Drosophila melanogaster: one gene and its partners. The protein of the gene in region 1 interacts with the protein of each later gene in a pairwise test. Each region holds a gene or a part of one and is shown in the gene's direction. Other genes may lie near its edges.

Region 1 (3,107 bases):
AGACCCACCTTGCTTTGCAAACGGTAGCGTTCCTGCTGCATGAGATTAGTGCACTGCTCGAGTAGCGTGATAGGCTTTTGGCCACCAGGAGTGGCCAGCAGTACGCGCAGTAGTTCCTCCTTTAGGGCGACATTCTCTACGAGTGAGTGCATTAGGGCCACAGCGGAGAACCAGTTGGCAAGCGCATCTGTGGAGAAGAGTCCGGTGCAAAGGAGTTGTCCCGTCGAAAGGGCACTCACATCGGACGCACTGGAGGGCAGCAGGGTCTGTACAACCGCCCGCTGGCCATCGGCATTGCGATAAAGAAAGCACTCGAAACAGTAGAGTACGGCGCAACGCAGTGCCAGCAGTTGTTTCTCATTGATCATGGACATAAGAAGGACCACGATGGCAGGTCTGGGTGGACTGCTCGGAGCCATAACTCTTCCCAATTCATCCTGGTTGTCCCGATCGCCGCGCACCACTTCGGCCACTGCATTGATGGTTTCCGTGAGTATATCCGCAGGGACACCACTGCTCATCAGAATCTCGCAAAGAGCATGGAGCAGTCGAGACTTTTGCATGACCCGCTGGCAGGCGGCCACCACCTGCTGTTGATTACTGGGCGTGACCAGTGCCCGCACCACCTGCAGCAGACAATGGAAGTTTGAGACCTTCTGTGGCGACCAGCCAACCTCTTCCGCATCCTGTGAGAGCTCAAACATTGGCGACAATCGCTGGATATAGCTGCCCTCCTTAAAGAACTGCTGATTACTGGAGTTGTTCTTGAGAAGATTCAATAGCAGAATTAGGCAATCCTCCACAACAATTCCGCCATCCGAACAGCCCTCCTCACGGACAATTTCAAAAAGGCGGTCAAAGGCATTCTCAAAGGCCACAATCTTTTGGATGTTTGAGTTGCCCTTGGTCAGTTCGATAAGCAGCAGAAGGACATCGTTGCGAATCACTTCGCGGCTGTCCGTCAGCAGATCCATCAGCTTGGAAACGCCCATCGGACTGACCAGAATCAAATCCTGCAGCTCCCGCGTCTTGTTCGAAATGAGGGACGTAATCAGTTGGATGGCAGCGCGACGCACTCGAAAATCGTATTCGTCCAGATAGCCCATTACCAGGGTTACATGCTCCGGTGTCTTGATGAACATCTCCGTGAACTGCTCGCCCACATTCACCGAAACGGTGGGATTATCAGCCTCCTCGTCGAACTCCTCGCTAGTAACCACGTTGCACAGTGTGTCCAGCGCATAGCTGATGATCTCTGCATCCTGTCCGTCGTTCTGGAGCACCTGGACCAGCGGAGGCATGCCCTGTGCGCCCACCTCGATGCGGTACTTGCGGGACAGGGCTTTTAGCGCTCGGCAGGCATCCCGTCGATCCTCCAGGAGCGTTGAGGAGTAGACACGGTCCACCAGCTTCTCCACCGTCTCGGCGGCACTCGGCTGCTGACCCGGCTCCGTGCTGCCCAGCACCGTTTTGATGCCACTCTTCAGGAACTCCATGCGAGTGTGTGTTTACGGTCTATTCTGGGTTTTTTCGCATTCAACAAGACACGTCAATTCATGAAAACAATTGACGGGCGGCTTAGCGATGGCTAAAGTCCGATAGACGCCCACTTATCGATAAGCGGCTTGTCTTTAAATATATTAAATATATTTTTAGAATTACAATTTACCATATTTGACCATGTTTGTGTAATTACCTATATTTACACTTTTTTGATAATCTAAAACTTTTTTTTGAATTACATAAAATATTGCTACTTTCTAGCTGACGTCGGGACTTAAGCTGAGTGGCATCCCTGTCGGCGATAGTCTTACTGCCAAAATTTTATTAAACTAAAAACGACTCGACAGCCCTGGTGCTATCGATGCTATAAGTAAGTTGAAAACAAAACTAATTTAGCAAATTTGTGTTTAAAACTAAACGAGAGAATCCCAAAAAATACAATATAAAGCGTTCCACACACGCGGCGTAAGAAGTTCTCAAAAATATCAACACAGTTATCACGACGCTGGGAGAAATCACTCGTTTTTATTACGTAATGCGGCAAAATGTCAACCCATAACATAACAATCCCCACATCAATTTGTGTAAATCATATGTAAATCTCGCCATCTCCTGTGCTTGTCTTGCAGACCTATGGGCAGTGGGATTGTGGTTCAATTGGCTCGAAAGTACGGCGCAGTGATATTCTTTCCCACTGTTGCAGTCGGATCGATTTACGCAGATTGGTCGCACACCCGCCAGTGGAAACGCCAGCAGCTCCAGTTGGCACACCGAGCCCAGCTGAAGGATCAGCGCTAAGAGGATACACAAATATACACCATGGTCTTGGGACTGGATAAGCGAGCACTGTGGGGCGCGTTGCCCCTGCTGGGATTTGCCATTGGCCACTTCCTGGACAAGAAGGAAACGGAACGTATGACCATGTTCCGGGACAAGAGTGCCCTATACGGCCGTCCCGCCGGCAGCGAGGGTAAGGCGCCATCCTGGTAGGCCTGCCCAACATCGCCATCCCAAAATATTATTTTTTTTCCCCCAATTCACTGTTATTCAATAAACCGGAGAAATGTGAAATACGCCTGTCGTCTAGTTTACCTGCATGGCCAGCGGACGAGATTTGCGGTCGGGAACGTGATTTATTTGTGAAGGATTGCGTACCATTGTTTGTTTTACTCAGGAAAAACATAAAAACCTCAACACACGTCTAACGATAAGCCGAAAACCAATGAAAAATCCAAGGAGATAACTCGTTTTTCGAAGGATTTTACCTGGGCATCGCTGCACGATATGCGAGTTCTGCTTAGTTCGGATCAGGGGCGTAGGCTGGATATTTTAGAAGAGCATTGGTGTATTCTACCAAAACTCTTATTATTTATTGTAGAACTTCTTGAGCATGTCACATAAATCACTTGAAATGTGGTAACCGAGAGTAGTCTTTTTAAATGAGTTTCGTTAAATGGCATTGAATTATCTAATACATGTGAATCGAGATTTTTAAGAATTAATAGAAAAAAAAAACTTTTATAAGCATGAGCCCCCTAAAAACTTTCATTTGCACGACCATGCCTATATGTACTATGTAACTGCTTCCAGTAAAAACCGTTAGA
Region 2 (5,603 bases), on another chromosome or scaffold:
TGAAGGTGGCTGAAGGTGGGCACCTCGACAAATCCACAAATGTGTGGATTGCACTTGAGCCAGTCGAGGCATTCATTCAGGCAGTCGGCCCACAGCTGTCGACAGTGGGCCGAGCTAATAAAATGAAAACAAAAGTGGCACCGGCAAAAAATATAATTTATAATGTTGCGCATACCGCAAAAATGTCAAACACGCCCCAAACCGATCGCCCGCCCGCGCATAAAAACAACAACAACAGCACATGCGGGTTCAAAAGAGCAGTTTGAAGTTGGTTTGGTTTATTCAAATTAAATTGGTGGCAGGCAAAGGCAAACAAATTAAGTTGCCGATACGAACTCAAGAATATGGAGTGTGCCATATAGACTATAAACGAGTATATAGGCGCATATAGCCAACCGCCCTCCCGATTTCGCTTATCGAATGCAAATAATCAAAGTTAGCCAGGGTGCAAGCACTCATTATATTGCAACGGACAAGAGAGGCTCACTGCTGCACTTGCAGAAAAAATGCAATCGGATTTCGGATACGGAATCGAAATTCATTACATTAAATTATATTTATTTCTTTATGTATATATATATATTTATATGTTTAACTGAGCTATAAAAAAATAATAACATTTTGGGGAAAAAAAATCATCTCTTCTCTTTAATAACTAAGATACTCAATAATTGTTAAGAAGTTGGGATATTCAACTAAGATACATACAAAAATTAGTTACAACAGCATTTCTTTCGAAATCGTTCACTCACCTAGCATTCGACGAATATCATTTTCTCTTCTTAGGGATTATTCTTAGTTAAGGATAGCTCATTCTAAGTTAAATAATTTTGATTTTCCGAGTGCATGAGTGCATTTGGGAGTGCAACATCTAGATTAGCGGACAGCAAAGAAATGCTGCAACATGTGGCAACAGCGGTGGCCAAAAGTGAATAGAAAATCCATTTTGCTGTCTTTTGTTTTCCGCTTGCTTCTTTGGGCAGTGCTCTTGTTTCTCCTTTTTTTTTAATTTGCAAAGTTTTCGTTTCGTTTTCCGATGCAGTTCAATGATTAAAGAGGCAAACGCCCAGAAATTGGCCAGCTCACATTTCGTTATGGCCACCATTGGGGCATGTTGCAAGCGGTGGGTAAGAATTTTTTAATTTGATCGAGCGTTGCGCTTGGGGCGGGGCTCTTGGGCGTTTTTTGGAAAGGCACTGATCGATAAGATCGGCCTAATCCCGTGGCCAAATAATGAGTGCTAATTGTCCGCACCGCGGAAGTCAAAGAACTAGCACCCGAAACAACACCAAATAAAATACATTAATCGCCTAATGTTGAAGCCAGGTTGAAACCAATACCGGCAATTAAATCGCGTTGAAAGCAAGGTCATGGCAGCTGTGATTTTTTCCACAGTGACAAACGCAGCGCGGAAACGCACGAGCAACATGTTGCCAGTGCAACTGCAGGCCAGCAACATGCTGCAGCGGCACTCCACTGCAAGCGATTGATACACATTCTTCGGCTGCGATATCCACTTCGGCTCTGGCCAAACCCCGCTTCGAGCCCCGATTAAAGTGGTAATTCGATTACTCTGGAACTGGTACCACACATTGTTCTGCTCTTGCTCTCGTTGGCTTTTGTTGGCTTTTGTTGAACGCCCGATATTGCTGGTGTTGCGGTGTTTTCGCTGCTGTTACCAATGTTGCGCATGCGCCGGCGTCTCAGCCGGAGTCTCGGCTGCAGTGTCTCTGCTCCCCAATCCCCAGTCTCCGGGCTCGCTGGTCTCGGGCGGTATATATTAGGGCCGCCAGCCAGCAGTCAGCACAGTTCGTTAACAGTCCTAGTCGTGGTTCTAGGAGGTTCAACCAGCGTCCAGCGACCAGTGCCTGTGCCCGTGTGTCGTGTGTAGTTAGTTTTCCGTTCATCCGCAGTGTGTCCCCGAAACTCCTTTTCGAAGCTCAATCGTGTGATCATAGCTAAAATGAAGCCATTCGTAAGTATGCGCCATGGGATCGAAAGGATAACGCCGAGCAAGAGGATTAAAGTTATAAATAATATGAGTTGGAGTGTGTAGATTACCGTGAGGAGAAAAGGATATTTGGATTCCGTGCTTGAATTACTGAGATACATTTCTAACTTTTTCTGTTCTACAAATTAGTGATTAACGTCTCTGCATGTAATTTATTTTTCTTAAAGTTACAAAATTTTACCATAAAAGTGGGCAAAAGTTCATTTAATTGATTGATTCTATCATGAAATGCTTAAGTTCATTAAAATCGTAGTTTAATGGAACTATGTAAGTCCACAGCCAGGTTTCGCTAGTTAGAACTGCTTTTTCATTTTCGATCTTTGGGATATGTTAATCGGTATCAAGAGAGAAGTGTGGCATACCAAATCTTTAAATTGGATTTTGTCAGCCGTTCGAAAAGTAAACACTAGTTTGACAGTGACTTGCCATTAAGTTTGAATGAATTCCTGGCATTCTTTTAATCTGTCATAGCGCAATTAATTTAAAATTCAACTGACATTGCTTTTGTAAACTCAATTTATTTCGCTTAAATTCCGCTCCGAACGAAATGGCACCTGTGCATCGTTCAGTTCCATCCGAGAGTCAATTACCATGGCACGTCATGCTAAACGTACCACCCAGCAAACCATCAGCTGCCATGGAACTCCGTGCGAAATCCCGTTGATAAGCCGCTGACATGTTGCATGTCGGACAGTTTATTCAACCGTTTTTCCACCACTTTCTGCCCCACTCACCTGCTGACACATAATATCGTACATAATCGCGCCGCATGCGGTAATATCTTCGAACGAATATTGGCCGACCGACCGACTACTGACTACATATCTCGGAATCAAATCTAACGGTTGCGCTTCGCGGCTCTGAAAAGCGAAACCATTGGAAAAGCGAATCCAGAGGAGAAGCGAGTCCAGGAGAAAAGCGAAAAGATGGGCGTGTGGGGCAAGAAAAGCGAGAGGAAAACGCTGGCGCAAGAGCAAGAAAAGCGAAAAGCCTGTAATTAGGTTAGCAGAGGCGGCTTATAAGCTTCCACTGAGTGACACCTGCGATTAACGATTTTGGGCGGTGGCTACCGCACGAGTAATTATTGAGCAGTCACATAATCCCACGCCTAACACCTTCTGCACTGTGAGAAACATGTAGAAGCTATATGTTAAATAATTTGAAATATTCAAAGAGATGAAGGTACAAAAGTTCTCTAATCGGAATTCAACATAGGCAAAATCAAAAAGATTTTTAATTATTATTATATATATATTTAATATATAAAAATCAGTTCTGTAAAGCTATATTGAAATTTGTTAGTTTTTTTTATCAGCTACATCAAAATTACAAAAAATAATTTCCCATTTTTATTTAGTTTATTGCCGCAGCGTTGCTGATCTCGACGGTGTCCGCCTCTTGGCACGGAGCCGTCTCCACACAGTACCAGCACCTGGACCCGCACAGCCACACCTACTCCTACGGATACGCCGATCCCAACTCACAGAAGCACGAGACGCGAAGCCATGACGGCACCACGCACGGCTCCTACTCCTACGTGGATGGTCACGGTCATGTGCAGTCGGTGTCCTACACCGCTGATCCGCACCATGGCTTCAACGCCGTGGGCACCAACCTGCCTCAGGCTCCTCAAGTTCATGCCGCTCCCGTTTACGCTGCCGCCCACGCCCATGGCGCCTATGCTCCTTACGCCCACGGACCCATCCACATCCCGGTGCTGACCCACGGAGGCGTCCCCGTCGATACTCCCGAAGTGCAGCACGCCAAGGCCGCCCATGCCGCTGCCCACGCTGCTGCCGCCCACAATGCCGGAGGACACCACCTGTACAAGCGGTCTATTTACGGCGGAGGATGGGCCTACGGACAAGCCGCCCATGTGCCGCTGACTCATGGAGGTGTGCCCGTTGATACTCCCGATGTGCAGGCCGCCAAGGCCGAGCACTATGCCGCCCACGCCAAAGCCCTTGGCCATGTAGCTCATGCCCACGGTGCTCCCGTTGAGACACCCGAGGTGCAGCACGCCAAGGCTGCGCACTTTGCCGCCCATGCTGCCGCCCGTTCTGGACATGCCGTTTCCCCCATTAACCACGGTGGCTATCACGTGCCGGTAATCCACAATGGAGTACCCGTCGATACGCCCGAGGTGCAGCATGCCAAGGCCGCCCACTACGCCGCCCTGTCCCAGGCCTCCGCCCACGGAGGAGCCTCGCATGGATCCTGGGATGATGGCAGCTACGACGGACGCTGGGAACAGAGCCACAGCAGCCACAACAGTTACGCCTCCGGCTATGCGCACAAGGGACCCATCCACATCCCGGTCATCCACAACGGAGTGCCCGTGGAGCCTGCCGAGGTGCAGCACGCCCGTGCCGCGCATCTGAATGCGTTGGCCGCCGCCGGACATGGAGCTCCCGCCAGCCATGGTAGCTACTACGGTGGCAATGGACACGAGGATGATGGCCAGTACCACGCGCACTATGACCACTATTAAGTGACGAGTGGTCGGCACTTGAGAGAAGTTTAACTTCCGATCGACGACGAGCATCTCTATACACTCTGACTAACCGACTACCGAAGCCAGCGTGGCGTATGCGTAACGTTGCATTGCGTATTCGCTCGCCAGTGCCACTTTTATACAGCATTCGCAACTCTCTGTCTTTCTATACATTTATCTGTTCTATTACTGCTTCTATTTCTTAACCTCTGTCACAAAAACACACGGAAAACTGAAAGCTACTACACACGGGAGATTGAAGTGCTTCGTTAGAAGCCTTCCTTGCCCGCTGGGTTTTGACCGATTTGGATTTTCGATCCAGTCACAGCACACACATCTCTACCTACCTACCTACATACTTCTCTCTGTACTAGGATTTTCCCTCATTTTTTATCTATATCTTTATCCTCCTGTTACTTCGATTGAGAAACGCTGTATGAGTATGTTGTAAATAACAGTTGTAATCTTTATGTATCTGACCAGATATAGATCTATATTTTATATGAACATGCAAACAGACAAATAAACTGCAAAAATGTATTTGATCACAATTTGAAGTGTTTGGAACTGGTGGTGGGATTGTGGTATTAAGAATTTAAAATCAAAGCCCCAGGATGCAATGTTAACTTACTTCTTGAGATAAGCTTTTAAATTTTGTTGGTAAAAAGCGCAGCCCTAAATAATTAGATAAATATTTCGCTTTACATTTTTCAACATATATATATAAATTAGTTACTTTTTTAATTTAATCAATGATTTCTGTTAAAATATTTCAAAATTTGCTAAGGCTCCTAGACAAAAATTAAAACACTTTTTAGGCTTATTAGATTTAAATTCAATCGAACTTATTGTATTTAAAGTTGGAATTGAAAATTCATCTTCATCCTGAAGATAAAATTCCACATTTAATGATTTTTCTGATGTTTTGTCATGTTAATTAAAAGGCCATCCAGTTTTGGGGCTTCGCATCCATTTACTTTAAACTCTGTTGCATATTTCCCAGTCTCAGGTCAAATGCCGCACCACCCAGAACAACCATCTAAACCACCACTGATACCGCACAACTAGCACCACCCAGTTTCCACCCACAGTGACTGC
Region 3 (4,142 bases), on another chromosome or scaffold:
ACAAGATGCATCCCCAGACAAAGGATGAGGATGTTAGCCAAAAACAGGTCACCATTCCGGATTGGGTTAAGCCAACAGTCTTTGAGGAGCTGCTTAAAAGGATTGTCAAGGATTACAAAGCAACGAAATCCATGAGGGCAAATGCAGGAGTCGCTGCTGGCGAAAACTATGCCACCGTAATGCTTAGAATTGAACTGGATGTTGAGAAAGAAGGTTCGTTAAATTCATTCTATAGGACTAATGAATTAGGGTATCAGCGTATTTGAACTGAAATTATCTTTCAATTATTGTAAACCTTGCAGATAACACTCAAACAACCAAGGCATTTATGCTTAAAACTCCCCATCAGTCAGAGCAGTATCGTAAAGTAATCGAGAAGACAGATATCTTCGATGTGGAGCGAGGAATGTATGTGGAAGTAGTGCCCGAGCTGGAGCAACTGTATCGCGATGTGGGATTGGAGGTCAAATTTGGAGCTGAACTCTACGACATAGAGGCCAGCGACTACTACGTCCTGCTGGAGGATCTTCGGCCACGTGGATTCGGGAACATAGATCGCCTCGAAGGCATGGACCAGGCTCACACCGAATGTGTTCTCAAGAAATTTGCCCAATGGCATGCGGCCTCTGCCGTTCGCGTAGAAACAAAGGGTCCTTATCAGGAGAAGTACACAAAGGGTTTTTTAAGGAACGAGGAAATCGTAGATGCCTTTATTAATCGGAGCATAAAAGTTTTTCTGGATAACGTCCATCTGTGCAAGGGTTACGAAACTTATCTAAATGATCTGGTGGGTAATTTATCTTTTGATATTCGTATCTTCAAGTCTTCTATCTTATCATTAATTACAGCGCATTGTCTCCGGCAAGACATTCGAAATTGTGGAGAGCCTCAACAATCCGAGTCCTGATGAATTTATTGCGTTAAACCATGGCGATGGTTGGGCCAACAACATTATGTCCCAGTACAATACGAAAGGCGAGATACAGGATACCTACTTTGTCGATCTGCAAGTCCCTAAGTGGGGATCAGTGACCCAGGATCTATACTACTTTCTTTTGTCCTCTACAAGCTTGGACATAAAAACATCAAAGTTTGATTACTTCATATGGTTTTACCACTCCGAATTGGTAAAGCATCTGAAATTGCTTGGATATTCGAAAACTCTTCCCACTTTAAGAAGAATTAACGACGCTCTCAACAAATACAGTGGATGGTGTAAGTTTTCAATCGTTACTTAATCATTAGTTCAGATCTTATAAAAAAAAACATTTCAGCGTTCATCTGCACCGCAACTATATTGGCATATGTCCTCCTGGATCCCGTGGACGGAGCCGATTTTGATAAGGTTCTTGGTGATGACGACTGTAGCTTTAAGAACTCGCTATACATTAATCCCAGATTTCGCAAACATATGGAGGTTCTATTGCCATGGCTTCAGCATCGCGGAGCTATGGAATAGATACTTAGAATGCACAATATTAAATCGTATGGCGTATAACGAAAAAATTACACTCAAGGTTTATATATACAGTATAGTAGAAGTAGCATATTGTGTAATATCTAATAAAGACCTAACTAGTGTTTAACAAACATTGTGGTTAATAAAAAACTTGTTCCGGAGTTTACATATAGGTAAATATAACTATAAGTATAGTTATAAGCATTTTTTTTTATGGTCATACAATTATTTTTATTGTCTTTAAATACTTACACTTATATGACAGACAAGCTTCTATATGGGTATAAATGCATCCCCCCACGTTTGTTTTGGTCTATATGTATGTATCACTCGAGACTTTGAAAACAAGTTGTTTTGAGAACTCTCCATATCCAGCACTCTCTTTGTTTTCCGACAAGCTTTTGGAGCTTTCGTATTGGCATTTGTTTTGGTAGCAAACAAAGATACAGAGAAAAAAAGTTTTGCTCACATGTTTGTACGGGACCAGCCGGCAAATAAACTCTTAGTTTGCTTAGAATGACGGCTGAGACAGGAACAGCGCCTATGCCCACCTGGCTGAGAGCAAATCTATTCGAAGAATTGCTAAGTAAACGTTACGGCGGCAATTATGCCGGAATCAAAAGTTTCAAGCCGGAAGCCGGGCTCAAGCCGGGAGAAAACTACTCCACAATTATGCTGCGCCTCAAGCTTGAAGTCGAACTGCAGGGTGAGTGTGAGTCACAGGTGAACAATGGAAAGTCAAGCAGAAATTTCCATCATCAGATCACACAATCGAAAATGTGAGCTATATGCTGAAGACTCCCTATGATTTCGAGATGTATCGCGAGATTCTGAGGAAGAACAACATGTTTGCTGTGGAGAGGGATGTGTTCATTCAGGTGATTCCCGAGCTGGAACAGATGTACAAGGATGTGGGCGTGGAGGTCAAGTTTGGGGCCAAGGCTTATGAAATCGACGCGCCCGATGATTACGTACTTCTGCAGGATCTGGGTCCTTTGGGTTTCAGGAACGTCGATCGCCTGGAGGGCCTAGACATGGTTCACACCAAGTGTGTTCTAAAGAAGATGGCCCAGTGGCATGCGGTATCGGCCACCAGGATCCATCTCAAGGGTCCGTACCCCCAGAACTACTTGCAACCCACGTACGCCGATACCATGAAGGAGAGCATCGAACAGGTGGCTGAAACCTTGGGCAAGTATTTCCTCAAGTGCCTGCCACTCTACGAGGGTTACGAGGAGTACAGTGCGGCGGTTGTATGTTTCTTTAGCTATATGCACCAATTGGTTGCACGGTTCATCACAAAATAATCTATTTGTACAGCACAAGATGCAACCTAAAATCGTCGACCTTATGTATGCTATGAACACGCCCGATCCGCAGGACTTCAATGCTCTGAATCATGGAGATTGCTGGACCAGCAACATCATGTTTAAGTACGAGGACGAGTCGCCCGAACCGATCGAGACATATTTCGTGGATCTCCAACTGCCCAAGGTCACGAGCGTGGCATATGATCTGATCTATTTCCTCCTGGGCTCGACGAAATTCGAAATCCAATTGAGTCAGTTCGATTACTTCATCAAGTACTACCACGATCACCTGGTCGAGCACTTGAGAATGCTGAACTACCCCGAAGCAAAAACCCCCACGTTGGGGTTCCTCCATACTCAGCTATTGAAATATGGACGAGTTGGTAAGTGGAAACCTCGCTCTGCAAAGCTGTAGATAACCAAGTTCTGATTTCTTTTCCAATCGTAGGGTATCACATTGCTTTTATTCTCTGCCCACCAGTGCTGCTCGATCGGACTGAAGATGCAAATCTGACCGATTTCGTCACCGAGACGGATAATGGCGATGGTCTAAAGTTGGCTATGTACTCCAATGCCCGATATAAGAAGCACGTTAGCGCCATTCTCAAATGGTTGAACAATCGAGGGGCCTTCCAGTGCTAGTTCGCTATACATTATATATATATAAAGAATACTATTGCTAAAGTGATTCCTAACGTTCTCTGGGAAAGAAAATTTGTAATACCATGACATATAAAATGTACTGCTTTCAATAAAATACTAATGCACGAATTTTAAGAATAAAATATGCTTGTAACTGAGCAATGATTATTCAGTGAAGTATAGAAGTTTCTCATTAGACGGATGGTAAACATAATCTCATAAGCACACTTTTGTTTTTAAATGATGAGTATGTGAAAATATATTTAACTTCTAGCCGCTTTGTACTAGCCAGGCCTAATAATAAAACAAAACATAACTGCCCCATTAAAGCACAATCAAAGATAATCAAAATGCCGTTTGGTACCCATATAGACCAGCATTTTGTAGGATTAATAATATTCAAATAATTGTTTATTGAGTGCGTGGTGCTCGTGCGGAAACCGATGGTGAACTGTCTATCTACCCATCACATGTCACGCCCAAAAACACCAATTAATGAGGAATCACGAAATAATTAGAGCGAATGGCGAGCGCAAAGAGGAACTCGGGTGCCCGATCCCGATATGGAAGTCGAATCAGGAGCGGGAACAAGAAACTGTTTTCGTTATCAATCAAACAATTGACGGTGTTTGCGTCTCTATATCATATATCACACACCTCTCGCTCGGGCACGCTATCGCGCACCCACTCTCGCCAACGCCAATTGCCACTCTTTTGCCGGTTTTGGCGAA
Region 4 (3,984 bases), on another chromosome or scaffold:
AATTCGAAGGCACAACGACACTGAAACTTGACCACCAGCCATATATTCAAAAAGAAAAGAGCTTGCGAGAAATGATTTTGAGTTATGTTGGGGATATTGATCTACTAGAAACATCTCTCATGAACCAAACTAAAAAAAGTACTTATTGTGAAGGCGAACAAACACAAATTAAGAATTTAGAACAAATAATAAATGACATAAGACCCGAAAAGTTCCTAGGCGAATTATTAAAACAAATAGAGCCATTAAATGAAAATCTAGCTGAAGCCAATAAAACTATTTCAGATGCAGAAAAGCTGCTCAATTTGGAAAAGGAAAATCTGCAGAAATTAAATTCCTTGTACGGAGAAGAATGGCATCAAAAAAACATATTAAAGGATCTCGAATCGAAAGTAAGCCAATTGGAATATAAAATCAATAACTTGAGCTTGTTGGAAGACGTAAATTGGCCAAAGCTTAGAAAATCCGTGGACGATGTTAATAAAATGTTCGAAAACAGTCCATCATTCTTCGCTAATATAACTGTTATTTCCATGAAAAATGGCATGAAGTTCAAAGGTCAATCAACCTCAGATTTCGCTATCAACCTAAAGAAAAAAAGTGAAGTAAGATTTTGTACAAATGAGTCTATTAAACTAAATGACTACTTGGAAAAAATTGAAAAGGATAAAAATAAAATTGTCGCTTATTATAATCAGCAAGAAAATGTTGTCAGAGCGCATTTTAACGAACTTTTAGACAAGGAAAAAGAACTGAAATATCATAGCCCGAAAAGCTTAACCTTGAAAAAAAGTGACATGACTTATAAAGTTGATCCATCTGTTTCAAGCACGAGCTCATTACAACTAGATATTAATCAATTGGAAAAAGATATAGACAACTTAACAGAGAATGGGATCGAAAAATTTGAGAGGCAACTGCAATATACCCGATTAAAATTCGAAATGGACAAGCAACAAATTGATCGCAAACTCGAAGAACAGCTAAGAAATATTAATCTTTTCAGAGAGGAGATGAAAAGGGAAGAAAATCTAATCGCAGAACGTTTAGCTAAATTAGACACGCCGAAGGAATATGACGAAAAACTAAGTAAGCTTGAGGCTGAAGCCATGGATTTTCCAAAACAAATAGCGAATTCCGAAAAAACACTTTTGGACCAAATCGCTTCGCTACAACAGCAAATAAAAACCCTGGAAAAGGAGGCGGAGAATACTGAACATAGAGCCGATCTATGCGATGCTGAATGTGATTTTGGTGATCTAGATTCTATTGATGAATTGATGAATAGAGTTCAGGCTGTCAAAAATAAATTAAATAATTGAAATTCAAAGATAGTCATGATGCTTTAAAGCCAATATAGTAATAATACCATATAATATTAATATATACTAAGCATTAATTTAAGTACTTGCTTAATGACATTTTTAACATCGTTAAATATAATTAAGCTTTAAGAACATCTTTTGTTCATTTGTGCATAAGGATCAAACAAACGCAAAGTAAAAACAAATTTCAATACATCTTAGGTCAAACCTATAAACCTTTACTTTAGAGTTCCTAATCGGCTTCCTCGTTATTGCAATTTGTTGTTGCATTAAATGAATTAAAAATAACACCCCCAAAATATAGTTTGATTTTATCATGAAACCTGCTTACGTTTTACTACCAAGATGAACGTGTCAGCATAGCCCGCTTCAATTTGAAAATTCCGCTCAATTTTTGACATTTGGCAACACTGTATTTTGGCTAAAAAAATAATCGACGAAGTCGATAGTCCCAACAAGCAATCGATGTTTAAAAAACATTGGCGAACGAGTTGCCAGACCATTGATTTTCTAGCACGTGTGATACATTCATTTAATTGTTATTTTTATGCAGCTTAACTTGCTATTTGGACCATTAAGAGAATAGGAATGCGTGACAACACACCGCCACACCGGCCAGATTTCGATGACGGCGACGACGAACTCCAGGAGATAATTGAGCTGGAGGAGCAGCCGCTGGACGAAGATGACGACGATTTGGAGGAGGTGACGCTGGAGCAACTGGAGGCCCGGCTTGCAATGGCCGGTGGCGATGATGATGAAGAGGAGGACGAGGAGGAGCTACGTGACCGTGAGAGAATAGCAGCCATCACGGACGAAGCTACGGTCACTTTCAAGAAGCACACCGCTCCTGTTTTCGCCTGCAGTCTGCATCCCAACTACAATTGGGCGGTGACGGGCAGCGAGGACGATCGAGCTTTCGTTTGGGAAACCTCCACCGGCGATGTCCTCTACGAGATCACGGAGCACAAGGACACCGTCACGGAAACGCATTTCAGTCACGACGGCGTCTATTTGGCCACCGGTGATCTAGCCGGCGATCTGTTTGTCTTCAAGGTCAGTGAAAAGCACGACGAACGTCCGATCCTGACTAAAATCTGGGAGTACTCCATGAGCGACATGTCCTGGCTCTTCTGGCATCGAGCTGCCCACATCCTGCTGGCGGGTAGTGACAGCGGAGAGGTCTTCGTTTTCCGCATACCCAGCGGTGAATGCAAAATCCTGCCGGGACAATCTTCGCGTTGCGAGTCCGGAGAGCTCAGTGGGGATGGCAAAAAGCTGTTCACGGCCTACGTGAACGGATCCGTAAAGCTGTGGGATCTCAAGAGCTGTCAGGTGCTCATTGACGTAAACGAATCGCATCCAATGGGTTTCGGCGAGATCACGCACGCGGTGGTGGCCTGCGAAAGGGAATCGCCCTTCTACGTCTGCGCTGAGGCGTCCGGTGAGTGCTCCAGTGGTAAAGGAATTCGGTATAATACCAGTTTCCATAACAAAACTATTAGTAAAAGCAATCATGTTCTCCATTGCATATAAACGGCAACTAATAGATTTATTTTCGTTCAGGAAAAATGCTGTTCTGCACTAACAACGGTCCGGTTAGCACAATCCAGTCGGAACACGGAATTGAGTGTCTGGCCTTTGCTCCCTCCTCGGCGGATCTAAAGCTCTTTGCCTGTGGCTCGCTGGACGGCAGGATATCCATCTGGGACTATGCCAAATCAGCGTTGCGTACCATATGCGAAAATCCAGTTCCCAATGATGCTGTCATAAGGTGAGCACCGCATAAAACTGTAAAAAATATTATAACTTTGATTTAACTTTTAATTTGGTTGTTGCTTACTAATTGCATTAATTATTCCAGGATCAAATGGTTGAACGACCACACGATACTTGCGGCCACCTCGCAGGGAAATCTGAACGCATTCGACGCACGCACAGGAATTCTGAAATTCACGCTGACGGGACACTACTATCACATCTACGAGTTTGTCTACAAGCCTCAGGAAAATCTATTGCTAACGGTATCCGAGGACAACACGGCCAAGATATTCAAGGTGCCGGCGCTGGGCGATTAGTTAGGTTTTAAAGTTTTGTACTGTGCTATATATATGTAAATAGTAAATACATATTAAAATTTATCTCAGTAGCCTGGTGCAATGAACCCATGTGGCGGTCCTGATACACTTGCCCCATATATGTACAAGAAAAAGGGGGGAGGCACAGGGCTGACTAAAGATAGAACACACAAAGAAGGTTACAGTTTGGGGTAACAAAATAGAACTGAAAAGGATTCCGGTTTTTTTGCATTGTGTCAAGAATATTATACTATTTGAAGTTTTTGTAAATTGGTAAGGAAATTTAATTTCATGCTGTCAATTTGGGTTAGGAAAAGAATTATTGTTTTTTAACTTTTTAATGGGTCAGAACTATGGTTTTAATCGGAAGCGTATATGAGAAGTAAGTGCATTCTAAATGCAACTGCAACGAATTCTCTTCAATATCTGGTTCTCTTAGGGAGAATGTGACATGCGTATTGCATTGGGAGCACATCCAAAGAGACAAACACTTGTTTATGTTTTTGTTTGTCGGTTGTCGTTCACCTCCGACATCCACACACATACACGCACACAAAGGCGAACAATTGTCTAAAAAATGA

Evidence for each region.
Region 2: the proteins of ND-MNLL (region 1) and Cpr92F interact in a two-hybrid assay, tested with the Drosophila melanogaster proteins (one large-scale study listed by BioGRID).
Region 3: the proteins of ND-MNLL (region 1) and CG10559 interact in a two-hybrid assay, tested with the Drosophila melanogaster proteins (one large-scale study listed by BioGRID).
Region 4: the proteins of ND-MNLL (region 1) and CG5114 interact in a two-hybrid assay, tested with the Drosophila melanogaster proteins (one large-scale study listed by BioGRID).

Annotation. Positions count from the first base shown.
Region 1 is NC_004354.4:7,892,516-7,895,622, reverse strand, and holds ND-MNLL (NADH dehydrogenase (ubiquinone) MNLL subunit), read left to right. Parts: upstream 1-1,824; 5' UTR 1,825-1,873; exon of another isoform or gene 1,874-2,035; intron 2,036-2,061; exon of another isoform or gene 2,062-2,132; 5' UTR 2,133-2,136; coding exon of another isoform or gene 2,137-2,301; 5' UTR 2,302-2,322; coding exon 2,323-2,493; 3' UTR 2,494-2,570; downstream 2,571-3,107. Other genes in the region: p115, read right to left, coding at 1-1,496; CG45089 (uncharacterized protein), read left to right, coding at 2,137-2,301.
Region 2 is NT_033777.3:20,667,768-20,673,370, forward strand, and holds Cpr92F (cuticular protein 92F), read left to right. Parts: upstream 1-1,803; 5' UTR 1,804-1,963; coding exon 1,964-1,975; intron 1,976-3,368; coding exon 3,369-4,502; 3' UTR 4,503-5,054; downstream 5,055-5,603.
Region 3 is NT_033777.3:25,313,938-25,318,079, reverse strand, and holds CG10559 (uncharacterized protein), read left to right. Parts: upstream 1-1,963; 5' UTR 1,964-1,975; coding exon 1,976-2,165; intron 2,166-2,221; coding exon 2,222-2,712; intron 2,713-2,779; coding exon 2,780-3,152; intron 3,153-3,217; coding exon 3,218-3,411; 3' UTR 3,412-3,586; downstream 3,587-4,142. Other genes in the region: CG10553 (uncharacterized protein), read left to right, coding at 6-213, 303-787, 849-1,215, 1,275-1,459.
Region 4 is NT_037436.4:14,981,022-14,985,005, forward strand, and holds CG5114 (uncharacterized protein), read left to right. Parts: upstream 1-1,813; 5' UTR 1,814-1,913; coding exon 1,914-2,829; intron 2,830-2,891; coding exon 2,892-3,099; intron 3,100-3,189; coding exon 3,190-3,403; 3' UTR 3,404-3,465; downstream 3,466-3,984. Other genes in the region: CG3349 (uncharacterized protein), read left to right, coding at 1-1,322.